Elephas maximus indicus: one gene and its partner. The protein of the gene in region 2 binds, or shares a complex with, the protein of the main gene of each other region. Links are inferred from orthologs where the notes say so. Each region holds a gene or a part of one and is shown on either strand. Other genes may lie near its edges.

Region 1 (7,460 bases), on a different chromosome or scaffold from region 2:
GACCACCTCGCTCTCTTCCTTAGACAAGGTTGTGGTATCCAGGTAGAGCTTCAAGTTCTGGCTGAAGGAAGTCAGACTGTCACACAGCCGGTAGCTATCGTAGCTTGTCCCCTGGCTGCTGTTGAGCATGGCCTGCAGCTCTTCTCCCCACTCCCGCAGCAGGCTGAGCATGTACTCAAACCCAACAAACAGCGTCTCAGTTGGGAGCCTGGCCAGCGAGTTCAGGCTGACATCCCGCTCTGCCTCCTTTACCTTCTCTGTCAGCGCCTGTTGGTGGTATGGCTTCTGGGTGTCTGAATTCCACACGGAAATGACGGTTGCCAGTTTGTCCAGATACACGGTGGCAGACACTTCCTGGGGGTCCTCCTCCACAAGGGCAAACACCGTCAGCATGTCGGCCAAGTTGGCCAATGCGCAGCACTTCATTCCAGGACACAGGATTTTATTCTGGATTTGCTTCAGCCCGTTGAGCAGCATGGCCAACAGGGGCATGGTGGGACACACATCTGGGTCTGACTTGAACCTCTTTGGAGGATGGCAGAAGTCATCTGAAGAAGACAAATACTTATGGGCCATTGTCCTAAACTGCGAGAGCAGAGGGTCCTGCTGATTGCCCTTGTGCTTCATCATTTCCCACCAGATGTCTAGGAAGAAGGCCACATCCTTTGAAGAAGTGTTAACAGTCATGTGTTCCAAAAAGCGCTCTAGCTCTACGCGGCAGATGGTGGTGGGCAGGGCCATCAGGAGCTGGATAAAGAGTCCAGAAGCTTCCAGGGACTTGAGCAGCTCAAAAAGGATTGTGTGATTGATAGTGGGGAGCATGTTGCCTACTGAGAAAAACACATCCTCCTGCCACCGGGTTTCAGTGTCAGAAGGGGTGGCAGGGTAGGGCTGAAGAACCTTGGCCCAGATAATGATCAGAGCTTTCTTCTTCCAGGCAAAGGGCTGGGAGCACGCTGTGGCCGAGATCTCTTTCAGGGCCTCCACAATGGGCTGCCCAACATGTTCCCAGTCAGACTTGGTCAATTCTGCCAGTGCTTTGGGGCGGAAAAGCTGCTCGGCCAGCAAGAAGCCCCCATGCAGAATAGTCATTTCTTCACAGATGTTCAAGGGGCCTGCGTGGAAAGAAGCCAAAGAAAGTGGTGAAAATTTTTAAATAAGTAAGCAGAAGTTAGAGGGAGAGACAGCACTTAGGCTGGCTGTCACTATCAGGGTTAGAGAGGACAAGGTTTTAGATGAGATCAGTGAGAAGGGGAGAGGAGGGATAGTTACAAAAGCCACTGCAGAGCTGGAGTGAGACTTAGCTGAGGAATAAAAAATGACTCACAGGTTCTCTAGCCTGGGAACTGGGAGGCCAAGGAGCACCATTAGAAACAGGTAACAGAGGAGAAGACAAGTTTGGTTTTGGTTATTTGAAGTCTGAGGTAAAACGTTAAGATAGAGGTGTCCTCCAGCAACAGGAAACGCAGGTCTAAGGCTCAAGAAGAAAGTCAGCACTGAAATGTGACTTTGGTAGCTGTCTGACCAGGGGGGAGCCCTGAAACCAAGGCTCAGGATGTTCCGCCAGGGTCCCAAAGATTCTGTAAATTTAATTTCATTGCTCTTTGAATTTACTTAGAGCTGATGTCTGGCTCCCAACACTCCTGCCTTCCAGAGACAACAGTATGTACATGTGCTACTTGAAGTAATAAGCCCCCAAGCAGTTAATAGCTGGGTAACTTCCAAGTGCTTTATGACTAGCTGGTACTTGGGGGTACGCACCGTTTATTAACTGCTTACTCTATGTCAGGCACTGTGCCAAGCACACATACCAAAAAAAAAAAAAAAACAACCACTGACATCGAGTCAATTCCGACTCATAGTGCCCCTATAGATCTTTTAATCTTCAAAACAACTTTCTGGGGACCATGATTCCTGTTTTAGACACGGGAACACTGAGGCCCAGGAACACTTAATATGCTCAGAGTGTCACAACTACAAAGTGGTGGGACTCGGACAGAAACCACCACAGCTGCAGGGCTCCAAACCCTTCAAGCGCTGCCATTCTACCACTGGAGGGCTGAGGGGACAGGGCCCAGGACATTTCTCTATAGCTGACTAGGGTATCACCCCCTTAACAGCATAGCCAGCGAGGTGGGAGGCTTCAGAACGGGGGAGCAATTTATATACACTTCTCCCTCCGTTTTTCCAACCATGCCTAAGAGGACTCTGAATCAAGATGCCCGCAGGTTCAAAGGCACCATCTCAGCTGCAATCATTCCCACCAAACCCCAAAACCAAACCTATTACCATCGAGTCGATTCTGACTCCTAGCGACGCTATAGGAGAGTAGAACTGCCCTATAGAGTTTCCAAGAAGAACCTGGTGGATCTGAACTACCAACCTTTTGGTTGGCAGCCGTAGAACGTAACCACTAAGCCACCAGGGTTTCCAACCACTCCAACAACCGCCACAAATTCGACGGGCTTGCTGTGCGGTAGGCGCTGTACCCGACCCTGTCTGTATACACGTGAACTCAAAACTCTCAAAAGCTCTATGAAGTAGATACATTATCATCGCCCCCATTTTCATCGATGAGGAAACCTGATGAGGGTAAGAAACTTGCCCAAGAACTTAGTTCAATAAATGTGCCAGTTCAAGGCACCCCTGAGTTCCCCGGGGCCTCCGAGCCAGCCTTTTCCAAACCACGTGCACTAACCCTTCCCACTTTCAGAAAACCTAACTCCACATCCGCCTGGCTTTTCACCCGGAAAGGGGCCGGGAGAGGGCAAGAGGCGGTCAAGTAACAGCCAGCCAGGGGCTAGAGCCCGGCCTCTGGATCCTGGGTTTCCAAGGACATCCCCGCCCGCCAAAACCTCTGCCCGACCGGGAGGTGCTTTTTGGCCGGGGCCCTCCCGAGCGTGCGCAGCGGGAGTGGGAGGGCCGGGCAGAACCGCTCTAGTTCCCCGTTGCGGGACGTGGTCCGGGCTGGCCCGGGACTCGGGGACCGCGACACCCACCTAGGTCCATGGCGGCGGCGCTGCCGGCGGCGTGGGGCCGCCCCTCCCCCTCAGAGGCGGCGAGTGCGGCGCAGGCGCCACGCCACAATGGGCGGGGCAGGGGGAGGTACAATGGGCCGCGCCTCAGTCCCCGCCCACAGCCTCAACACTCGCTCCCTCCGGGACCGCGGCCCCGCTCCGCCGCTCAGCGCGCACGCGCAGCTCCTACCAACTAGCCCGCGGCGCCGAGCCCGCAGCGCCCCCTATCGGCCAGAGCCCTCCCGCCAGCCAACCAGCAGGTACCTGCACCTCCCTCCCGCGGCTGCGTGCCCCGCCCCGGCCCTCCCGCTCTCTAGTCCCCGCCCCGGCCTTGGCTCCAACCCCGGCCGCGCTCCCTTTCAAGGCTCTACTCAGCCACCCATCCGCCCAGTACCATTCCCAGATCAGCTTCCTGAATACCAGTCGGCCTACCCATTAGCCCCGTCCCTGGCCCCACACTCACCCCCACACACAGTTCACCCAAACGGAATGCCCCTCCGCAGGCTGCCCACTAACCCGCATAAACAGACACAACACACTGAGGGGCTTCCTGCCCCAGAGCAGGTCTCCCCGTCTGTCTCAGAAACACACATAGGCCCCCAGCGCTTCTCATCCCACACCGCCTCCCGTCAAAACCAAACCCGTTGCCGTCGAGTCGATTCCGACTCATAGCGACCCTATAGGGCAGAGGAGAACTGCGCCATAACGATTTCCAAGCAGGGCCTGGTGGATTTGAACTGCTGACCTTTTGGTCAGCAGCCTCGCTCTTAACCACTGCACCACCAGGGTTTCCAATTTTAGGTCCGGATGCCTAAATTGGAAGCGTAGTCCTCCCCGCAAAATGACTGTGCAAGCCAAAACAAAACAAAAAAACAAACGTGGGGCGGATCCAACCCAACATGCCACCAGTTTGCAATCTGTACTTCATAAAGGCACACATTTGATTTTTCACTGAGAAAACACATGGAAATATCCTGTGTTCTCCCCACACACGCCCCGGCTCCCTTTTCCCCTCTCTTCTTCTTTGAGCTAATCATCAGCCTCAAGTTGTTTCTCTCTACCCTCTGAATTTCCTAGCGCCAGATACCACCTAGAAAGGACAGAGGGGCCCGGCCTTACTTACACCAATGGGCCAAGTGGAGTTTGAGCTAGCTTGTGCTGCTGTCAAGGAGCTGAAGGGTCCTGTGAGTGATCAAGAGAAACTCTTGGTATACAGCTTCTACAAACAGGCCACCCAGGGCGACTGCAACATCCCTGCCCCACCCTCCACAGATGTGAAAGCCAAGGCCAAATGGGAGGCATGGAACGAGAACAAAGGGATGACCAAGTTGGATGCCATGAGGATCTATATTTCCAAAGTGGAAGAGCTAAAGAAAAAGGAGGGTGGTTAGGTAGGTCAGATTGGCGGACAGAAGAAAGTAGCACAGTTCCTCTGGTAGAGAAAGGACTCCTTAAGACCTGGAAAGACCTCGATGGCTGAAATGTCCTGAAGCGGTACCAATTTTAGCTGAGACATCAATAAATGACTTAAGCTGCATGAGAGCGATTGTCTGCAGTTGGGAAAGAGATAAACTCCAAGTGACTGGGAAAGTGTCCAAAATTTATAAGAAACATCTCTCTAGGTAAAATTGCGTACTATTGCCAGAGCATATGCAGATATTTGGCAGGAATAGAGGGGTGGGAGGAAGAGCAGTACAACGAAAATGCACAAAATTTGAGGTCAGTAAAGCCATTCTCCAGGAATTCGATGGTTCCTTCTCTCCCAGGGGTTGTTGATCCACTACTAACTCAACAGTACGGAAGGGAATGGGGCTGTCTTCCAAAAACCTAGAGTCAAGTCCCCATTACCCAAAGCCCCCACTGGAACAGATCCCATCAAGTTAATGTTTGGAGGGAAGTCAAACTCCTTGTGACAATGTGGTGAAGTAACTGATGCATCACAACACAGCAGTTGAGAAATACTAGAGAAGATGGTTTCAAAACACCAGCCTCTGGAAGCCTCATCTAAAACCCAGTAACCTAAACTTTCTTTGGACTACTCCCTAACCCTGGTTTCTGCTTGGGGATGTTTGTGGGACAAGACAGCTATGCACGCATGAGTAGGAACCCTAGTGGTGCAGTGGTTAATTGCTCTGCTGCTAATGGAACGATCGGCAGTTTCTCCCTGGGATAAAGATGAGGCAGTCTGTTTCCATAACTATTACAGCCTTGGAAACCCTATGGGGCAGTTATACTCTGTCCTATAGGGCTGCTATGAGTCGGAATCGACTCACCGGCACACAAAACATGTATAAGTAGACTTTGTTTTAGGACACAAGACACCCCTCATACTGCTGTGCAAGGGCCAAAGTGCTTGACCTCACTTCCTACTCTTGTTGGTGATTATCATGGAGGTATCAGTGCACAAAGCACTGTATCTAGTGACTGGCATATGGAGCACTAAATGGTATTATTAAAGACATTTCGGATAAACAGGTCTGCTGTGGCATGGGATTTCCCTCAAAAACTGTTTTTATACATCATGACATTAGGTGAGCCCCAGTTCACGAGAACCATTACACAATAGAAACAACCACCATAAAGACTTCAGGCAACAAAGAAAACCAAGTGTCACCAGGTATCTTCAAGATCTCTGTCCATATATTTGCAGGAAGCTGCTACAGACAAGTAAACTAAGAATGAAGTACACCCAGAAGTCCACAGTGGCCAAAAAATTACTTCTTATGGCCTGTAAATGGGCAAGAGCCACACTGCAGAACAGCAGTGCTGTTCTCTGGGGGAATTATGAATACAATTTGATGCTGTTAGGGACAGGCGTCACATCAAATAATAATAAGCTTCTTAATACAAAATATGGTGTCAATTTAGAAGCTCTTGTTGTAGCTGTACCATTCTGGAAATCATTATGAAACCTGATAAAGTAAAAAATTGCCATAATTAGGAGGGCAGAGAACACTTGTGGTTTATCCCATGACTATATAAAAATGAATGCCTAAAAACAAAAACCTAACCCATCCTCCTCAGGCAACTGTCCTTCACGTACCCTCCTCTTCACTTTTAAAAACAAAATCTTGTTTATCAATATCCACCAGATTAACTACTATCTCGGGATAATTAGATAGTTATCACAAAGTGGAAGGCATTGAAAATAATTCCAGGATGTCTCAGTTCCACAGATGATGAATGGAAGAAATGAATGAGTTGACCATCTGAATCTAGAAGGAAAAGCAGTGGCCTCTAAGATTGGGTGTGTGAGAAAGCAATTTTGAAAAATACACAATTTTAATATGAAAAGCACAATTAGCAGTAAGGAAAAGAGGTGTACAATTATTCACTGTAGCATTGTAGCTTTGTTTGAATAACAAGACTGGAAACATCTGAAGCTTGCATTTGTAAAATATGACATCAATTTCCATAGAAGAAATTTTCTATATACTGAGAGGCAAGATCTCTAGGATATATTACTTAAAAAAAAAAAAAAAAAAGGCAAGGTATAGTATACATAGTATGTTAAATCTTCTCTGTGTGGAGAAATTAGAATATATTTTGATTACCTACGGGGGGTCATTACGAGTTGGAACTGACTCGATGGCAACGGTTTGGTTTTTTGGTATGGGGGCAGGGGAAATGGGGTCAATGGGGATGGGTAGGAGCAAGACTTTTCAATGTATACCTTCTTACATTGTTTTGATTTTTGAACCACGTGCCTCTATTACCTAATAAAGAGATCTGAGGTCAGGTCACTTCCTTAACTGATCATTAAAGTCAGAGTAAATGTCCTGTTGATTTCTCACAGGGTAACGGTAAGAAATCTTAGACCAAAATGGGGAAACTTCCCATTAACTCTCATCACTTTCAGTGGACAGGCTGGAGCTCTCCTGAAAACTGGCTGTTAAACCGCAATGGCACGTGTGGCAGGAGAGATGGGTAAAAGTGTCACAGAAAGGCGCACTGAATGTCCATGGGCTTTGCCACTTCTACCAAGCTGTCGGGCAGACGTGGCCTTCAGACAGCTAACTCTCTCAGGCCACCCTAGAACCCCTGCACCACTGCCGTTCTACATCTCTGGATTTCAACTCAAGGCACGCTTGAACTTACACTTAATATACTAGGACTTCAAAACCTCTCAATTAAAGTAACAAAATTACTACTCTGAAAATGTAACTCTAGAGAAACAAAAGAGCTTTCCAACTTCATCGGCTTAGAACAGTAGCCTGGGCAAAACCATCTTCTTATAACCTTTTCTAATTGATTACACCATCCCCAGAAGTGGGAAAGTAATTGTAACTTTTGCTTTAATAGCAGACGAACTGTGCAGAAGTCAAACTTCTGGATTCTTTGGTAAAAGTCCCAAGCTGTACACTAAATGGTTTTAGGAAGAATAAAATACTAAAGATTGCAACAAGGGAAGAAAAGGTGGGCAACGAGCTAAATAAAAGGAGG
Region 2 (7,292 bases):
CAGCAATAATATCCCTGGTTCCACGTCCTCTTCTGAATGTCTGGCAGTTCCCTGTCGACATAGTGTTGCACCGTTTTTGAATGATCTTCTGTAAAATATTGCTTGCATGTGATACTGATGATATTGTTATGTAATTTCCACATTCAGTTAGGTCACCTTTCTTGGGAATAGGCATAAATATGGATCTCTTCCAGTTAGCTGGCCAGGAAGCTGTCTTCCATGTTTCTTGGCATAGACGAGCGAGCACCTCCAGCACTGCATCCATTTCTTGAAACATCTCAACTGATATTCCGTCAATTCCTGGAGCCTTGTTTTTCGCCAATGCCTTCAGAGCAGCCTGGACTTCTTCCTTCAGTACCATCAGTTCCTGATCATACGCTGCCTCTTGAAATGGTTGAACGTCGACTAATTCTTTTTGGTATAACTCTGTATATTCCTTCCATCTTCTTTTGATGCCTCCTGCGTCGTTTAATATTCTTCCCATAGAATCCTTCACTATTGCAACTCGAGGTTTGAATTTTTACCTCAGTTCTTTCAGCTTGAGAAACACCAAGCGTGTTCTTCCCTTTTGGTTTTCTATCTCCAGCTCTTCGCACATGTCATTATAATACTTTGTCTTCTCGAGTCACGCTTTGAAATCTTCTGTTCAGTTCTTTTGCTTCATCAATTCTTCCTTTTACTTTAGCTGCTCAATGTTCGTAAGTTTCAGAGGGTTCTCTGACATCCATCTTGGTCTTTTCTTTCTTTCCTGTCATTGTATGAAATATATACCTCAGAAGGAGGAAAAAAAAGAGAGTCTATGGGGAGAAAAAAAGAGCCTGCACTTCAGTTGTGGTGATTGGAATGAAAGAGAAGGTATTGTGGAGAGGGCAAATAGAGAGTTATTCCTTTCTATCAGAGCCCAGGAGTCAAATAAATTCAAATTATTTTCTGATGAAAATTTCACTACCTGAAATCTTTCTACTTACTATTCATAATTTAGAATCAAGGAGATCCAGATAACATGGTTTCCTTCAGTATCCAAACTCACACTATCTGAACTCAAAAACCAAACAGAATTGGACAGTAGAGATACTTCTGTGAAGAATAATTGGCAAAATCTAGTGATTTCTCAAACGTAAGGATTATCAGGGAGAGGAAGAAGTCAGGGACAAGACTCCCAGGTTTTTGGTTAGAGTGACTGTAAGGATATGAACGATAGTGTCACCGACTTAGGCACAGGATTAAAGCCAAATGAAAACACAAGCTAGTCAGTGAAACATCATTTCCTCCAGGCAAAACACATTTTCCAGCAAGAAATTTTGTTTCTATATTCTACCGAAGTCACAGAATGGGTTTCAGTACATTAACATCATCCGCTACTGTTGAGTTGATTTTGATTCATAGTGACCCTATAGGACACCGTAAAACTGCCCCACAGGGTTTCTAAGGCTATAAATCTGTACAGAAACAGACTGCCACATCTTTCTCCAACAGAGCGGCTGGTGGGTTTGAACCACTGACCTTCTGGTTTCACTACAGCCATTAAAAATTACAAGAAAATTCTGTCGCAACACGAAATGCCTTTAAACAGGACAAACTGAATCCAAAGAATATTACATAAAACCTAACTGTAAATAGATATAGACTGGAAGGTATTCAGAAATTGCAAAAATATTCTTTAAATTTGAGCCGTTTTTCTCCAAAGCTACATTCCATATAAATATGGACTACAAATTAACCATGCATGCGATCTACAGAAACACTGAGAATTTTATATTATTTCATGCATAGCAGAAAGTATCTACTTGTCTGTCTTTACCACTCCAACAAGGTGGAGATGTTTTTTTTTTTTTTTTAATGGTTCTATTACCAGCGCACAGAATAACAGGTGAACAATAGTAAGAATTTCGTTGACATTAACAATCCTTGACTCAACAGAACAACAACAAAAAAACTAACTAAATATAACCGCTCACTTAGTAGAAGCCTCTACCCCTTTGTTTCGAGATCAGTTAAAAGGAAAAATAGCCAAACCATATGTATTTACAGGTAGTATGGAATGAAGTACTCAAACCGGTAAACAAGTCTTCAGTAGGCACAGCTAACGGACAAAGTATAAAGTCAAAGAAGAGAAAAAATGGAAGTAAAACTTATTATCTGTGTAATTAGCCACAAATACGAATATTGGGAGATTTTCCTAAAAGTCTACCTTATAGAAAATGTAGGTTGAACAATATCTTAAGCTATATCAAAAAAGCTACACATATATATATTTAAAATATTTTAGAAGTACACTTCAATATTTCCAGATAAAGCCATGCTGCTTCTAAGTACTCATTTAAACCGACGATAACAATTTGATCACGAAAAACGCATTCATTTAAAGAACTTCTCACGGAAGGCATACAATTTTTCTCGATGGCTCCCGCCTCCTTAGGGCACATGGACCTACTCATAGTAGCCTGTTCTCAGGAGTTGAGACGGGCCAGAAAAGTAACCTAGACTAGAGCACGAGTTCCCCCTCGAAAAGAAAATCGGTATCGGTAACTAGGCGAAAGAGCTCGTAAACCCGGGAAAGCACCGTGAAAGACTTTAAGACATTAAGTGGGAAGAAACGTCCCCGCCTTTGCGTCCACCTTTTGGAAGAGCAGATCGATCCCTCGCGACCCAGTCTGAAGCCCGGCCCGCAGCACCGCCCGCGCGGCCAAGACCCGGACGGGAGCGGCTGGCGCCGGAGGCCGTTACCAGGCCGCGCGCGCGCACGCGGCTTTCGCGCCTCCTGCAGCTGGGGAAGCCAGTCTCCCAACTCCGGCCCAAACCCTCCCTTCACAACCCGCACGCCGCTTCGTAGCCTTCTCACCTCACGAGCTTCATCCTAGCGGCGCCGTCACTCTTTCGGCCCGATAGCGCACAAGACCAGAGAACAGAGTCCCGACCGAACGGGGGTATGAATGGCCGGAAACTCCTACTCCCGGGGCTCCGGACGTAAAGAGCGCGCGGAGCCCTGCGAACGCACGGCGGAAACGTAGAGGTTGAGCTGATCCGGCTCTCTTCCGGCCGTGAGGAGCACGACTGCACCCCCTGGTGCCTGGAGGTGTGCCTTGCGACTGCTGAGGGCGGCTAGGGCTGGTCTGGGAGGAAATTTCCAGCAAGAGGAAAATTTGGGGAGATCAAATCCAGTTCGGAGGCCTGTCGCCATCACGTTTTCTCGCGGCAAGGCACCGTGCATTACACCCCTCCGAATATCCCCCCGAATAAAGGGAAGTTCTAAGAGAAGCCCAAAAGATTATTCTAACTCTAGATCGACAGAGCACCCAGAACCTACCTCACCATTGCCTAACCTACCTGAAGAAAATCTCCCAATTTAACTTATTATTTGCATTTAAGTTCTGATCATAAACCTCAGATGGGCACCTTACATTGCCCAGAAAGACTGTTACTCTTTTCTAGTAAGCTCACCAACTCTTTCATACCTTCTGTCCCCCTCAAACTTTCTACAGTCTCACTACCAAATCTTTCTACTAATATTTCACACGTTCAGAAAACAGATGCCATCCTTTTGCCTTCTCTCCTTTTACAAGGCTAAAAGTAATGTCGCTCCTTTCAAAGACAAACTCCTTTTCTTAGTAGTTTGGATCCCATCTCTCAATTTCTCAAGAATTTCGTTCCTTCAGTTATTTCTCTCTAACTCTACTCTTTCTCCTATTTTACTGATTTTTTTCCCATCAGCATTCAAATTTACCTTAAAAACAAAGCCAAGTTCTCTCTGCTTCAGCCCTAGCTACTGCCCCATTTTTTAACAGGAAAACTTCTTGAATGAGCTATCTCTACTTGTTTCATCACTTCTAGGTCACTTTGCAAACTACTTCACTGACGTTGCTTTTCAAAGGGGATCAGAAACCTCCAAGACAAACTTTTCTATCTTTGTGGTACTCAGCATCTCATCAGTGTTCAACATAAGCACTTCCTTTTGAAACACTCCTTTCTCAACGTACCCTAAACGGTAATCTTTGTATGAATACTTTCTCCTGTAGGTAGGTAATCTCCTCCAAACCATGGCTTTAATTTGTATCTCCAGCATGAACTTAATCCCTGATCACCAGAATTCTAGGATGTTATGACGCAACAATATTCATCAAACTTTAATGTTCATAGGACTCATTGGGGAAAATTTTAAAATGAAAGTTTTCGTTCGGTTGTTGTGTTGGGACTTGCCTTAGTACTATGAGAATAAAGAGTCTCAGGACGGAGAGTTAATAAACAGACAAAAACCCATGGTGATAGTAATGAGCTGCTGGATCAAGCTGTGCCTGAGTGTGGAATTTAAATTAAAATGAAGTTAGATTAAAAATTCAGCTCTTCAGTTGCAATAGCCACATTTCAAGTGTTCAATAGCTATATGTGGCTGTGGCTACTCTTTTGGACAAAAAAGATATGGAGCATTTCTTTCATTGCAGAAAGTTTTGTTGGACACTGCTGCTCTATTTATTACCATATTTGTTTCCTTCTTAGCATTTATTTGATAACTTATTTACTGTCTGACACAAGAGTGTCAACTGTGAAAGGGCATTTGTATTTGTTCTGTTCACTGTAGCATCCTTAGCACTTAGAATAGTGCCTTGCACATAATGTGCCCTCAATCAATATTTGTGAAATAATGGCTTGTCTTTTCCATTAGAATGTATGCTCCTCCAAGAAGAGACCTTGTGTGTGTTGTTGATTGCAGCATCCCTAGTGCTGAGCCAAACCAAACCAAACCAGTTGTTGTCGAGGTGATTCTGACTCATAGCGACCCTGCAGGACAGAGTAGAACTTCCCCATGGAATTTCCAAGGCTGAAATCTTTATGGTAGCAGACTGCTACACCTTTCTCCCTGGGTACTTACTGGTATTGTCCTCAAGCGCTTCCTAATTTGGGCTTTGACTACCTCTTAATCCATTTCCTCTCAATAGCATTAGAATATTTGAGTTATTGGAACTCATCAAGCTCATTTTCCTCTCCAGATTTTGTACATGCATTTTTTTTGATCTGGCTAATACCTACTCATCTCCTGTCAAGTAAGTGGGGAATTATTTCTTGTATCTAATAGTGGTGGGGCTTCCAGAGGAGGGCAAATTGAAATGGCATTGTCAGTTGGTTTATACCAAATTGCTATAATTTTTTAATTTATTTTATTTTTTGTTGTTGAGAACATACACATCTGTGCACACACCAATTCAACAATTTCTACGTGTACAATTCAGTGACACTGATTACATTCTTCAAGTTGCACAACCATTTTTGCCCTCATTTTCTGAATTGTTCTTCTTCATTAACATAAACCCATTGCCCCATAAGTTTCCTGTAAATTGCTATACTTTTTGTTTTTGTTTTCTAGCTTGAAATGTTAGAATTTTTACTCTTATAAGTACAAAACTGTCAAAAGAGTACTGAAATAAAATTCACAAAAGTGGAGCAACAAAGATAAAGCCTTTATTTGCTGCTAGCAGGATGGTCAGTTTGAAAATGAGACTGCCCTGTCTTCTGGAAATTAGCAGAGGTTTTACATATGTTACAGGCATTTAGATTAGTCACAAGAAACAAGGAAATGAGAATGTGGTATGTGGGGCAAGACAACTATTGCATTACCAGTTTTTAGAAGTAGATGCCCTAATTAACGATAAGCGAGTCCAGAAAAGTACAATCGGCAATTCTGAGCCAGCAAGGAAAATGGACAATTTAAACAAGCCCCCCGCCTGAAAAAACAACAACAAAAATCACATGCATAAGACCTGTTGCCTTCGAGCTGATTCTGACTCAGCGACCCTATAGGACAGAGTAGAACTGCCTCATAGGGTTTCCAAGGAGCACTGCTTGCCTTTTGGTTAGCAGCCAAGCTCTTAACCACTGCACCGCCAGGGCTCCAAACAAGTCCAAGAAAGTACGTTTACTGTTTTGAATTTAGGAACAGAGCTTAGGGCAGAAGCTTGCAAATCTTGGTGTACATGTTGTGAAAAAAAACCCTTCACCATTTAGATAACCATCTAAGTTCTGTATATCTAAGCACAGTGTTTGTTTCTAGCATGGGCACATGGCAAAAGCTGAACCAATCACAGCTCTCCCCTAGGACTTTCTCTGGAGCTCACAGGCATAAGGACCTCTCTCTTTACTGGAATCAGTTTGCTGTGAGCTCAACATAGTCTTTGCCATGTTGTTGGGAGAGCTTGGTTGAGAATGAAGCCAGTACAGATGAAAGAAGAGCTGAGAGTTGGAGAGACATTGTCCTGTTGACATCACCTGAACCTCAGGTTTCAGGATGTCCTGAGGTCAGCGGTTCCCCTGCAGTTTGTACTTACAGTAGCAATAAATTTCTTTTTTTCCTCTATATTAGTTCGAGGTGGTTTTCAGTTATTTTTGAACTAAGAGAGACCCAGCTAACATTTTCTTTGGATTACCAAACACTTCTTCCTTTAAGTTGAATATTTTCTTATAGTTGTCTGAGAAACTATCTCTTGCTAGTCCCAGGCCCCTTCTGAACCCAAAACTTGTATTTCTATATTTCAATTGTGACCTACATTCCTCCATCAGTTCAGTTCAATGCTAGGCTTCTCATTGATCATCATTTGCAAAAACCCAAATTCTTTACTATTTCTTAGAAAAAACTGAAAACTCAGTCAGGGGAGAAATTTATTTGGCTGATCATGATTATTTTGTAGTGCACAACTAAATTAAATGCACCAAATTCCAAAGCTCATAGATTGTTTTAAAAGAGAACCACTGATAGAAGGCAAAACAAATTTTGCCAATATGATATTTCAGAATAATTGAGTTAATCAAACTACAAATTGAGAGCTAATGAATCAGAAGTGAAAATATACTTCAAAATGATAAAGAATAATGTCTAAGAAAGCTTATTTTCCCATAAAAGTGAATGACTTTATACTTTCATAGCATGTTTAAGAAATAATTTTTGAAAAGAAAATCTAGAATAAATTAGAAATGAATTATACATTAAATATGATTTACTTCTGTACCAAAAATCAGTACATCTACTTTCATGTGGTCTGACATTTGTAAAATTATACTCCTAATTGTGACCAATACAACAAATACAGTGAAATAGATCACTTAGAAGCAGAGGCCTGTTTTGTGGGAATGGAAGCTTGTACTATAATTTTATGTGTGTATGCCAGAATTTTTTTTTTTTTAATGCCAGAATTCGAGTTAGTAAAGTTACTAGAAGTAACTAATTAGTCCCTGTGTGGCACAAAATAAGAGCTTGACTACTAGCCGAAACGTTGGTGAAGACAGGCCTGGCGATCTGCTCCCAA

The links. Proteins that work in one complex are often made in the same cells at the same time.
Region 1: SNRPD1 (region 2) and GEMIN4 share a complex: the UniProt entries of both Homo sapiens proteins name them as parts of the SMN-Sm complex. The link is inferred for Elephas maximus indicus from reciprocal best matches to the Homo sapiens genes SNRPD1 and GEMIN4.

What each region holds. Positions count from the first base shown.
Region 1 is NC_064837.1:20,925,884-20,933,343, forward strand, and holds the start of GEMIN4 (gem-associated protein 4), read right to left. Parts: upstream 3,063-7,460; 5' UTR 3,010-3,062; coding exon 3,000-3,009; intron 1,116-2,999; coding exon 1-1,115. Other genes in the region: diazepam-binding inhibitor-like 5, read left to right, coding at 4,145-4,408. UniProt on the Homo sapiens protein: The SMN complex catalyzes the assembly of small nuclear ribonucleoproteins (snRNPs), the building blocks of the spliceosome, and thereby plays an important role in the splicing of cellular pre-mRNAs.
Region 2 is NC_064829.1:27,456,359-27,463,650, reverse strand, and holds the start of SNRPD1 (small nuclear ribonucleoprotein Sm D1), read right to left. Parts: upstream 3,001-7,292; 5' UTR 2,857-3,000; coding exon 2,843-2,856; intron 1-2,842. UniProt on the Homo sapiens protein: Plays a role in pre-mRNA splicing as a core component of the spliceosomal U1, U2, U4 and U5 small nuclear ribonucleoproteins (snRNPs), the building blocks of the spliceosome.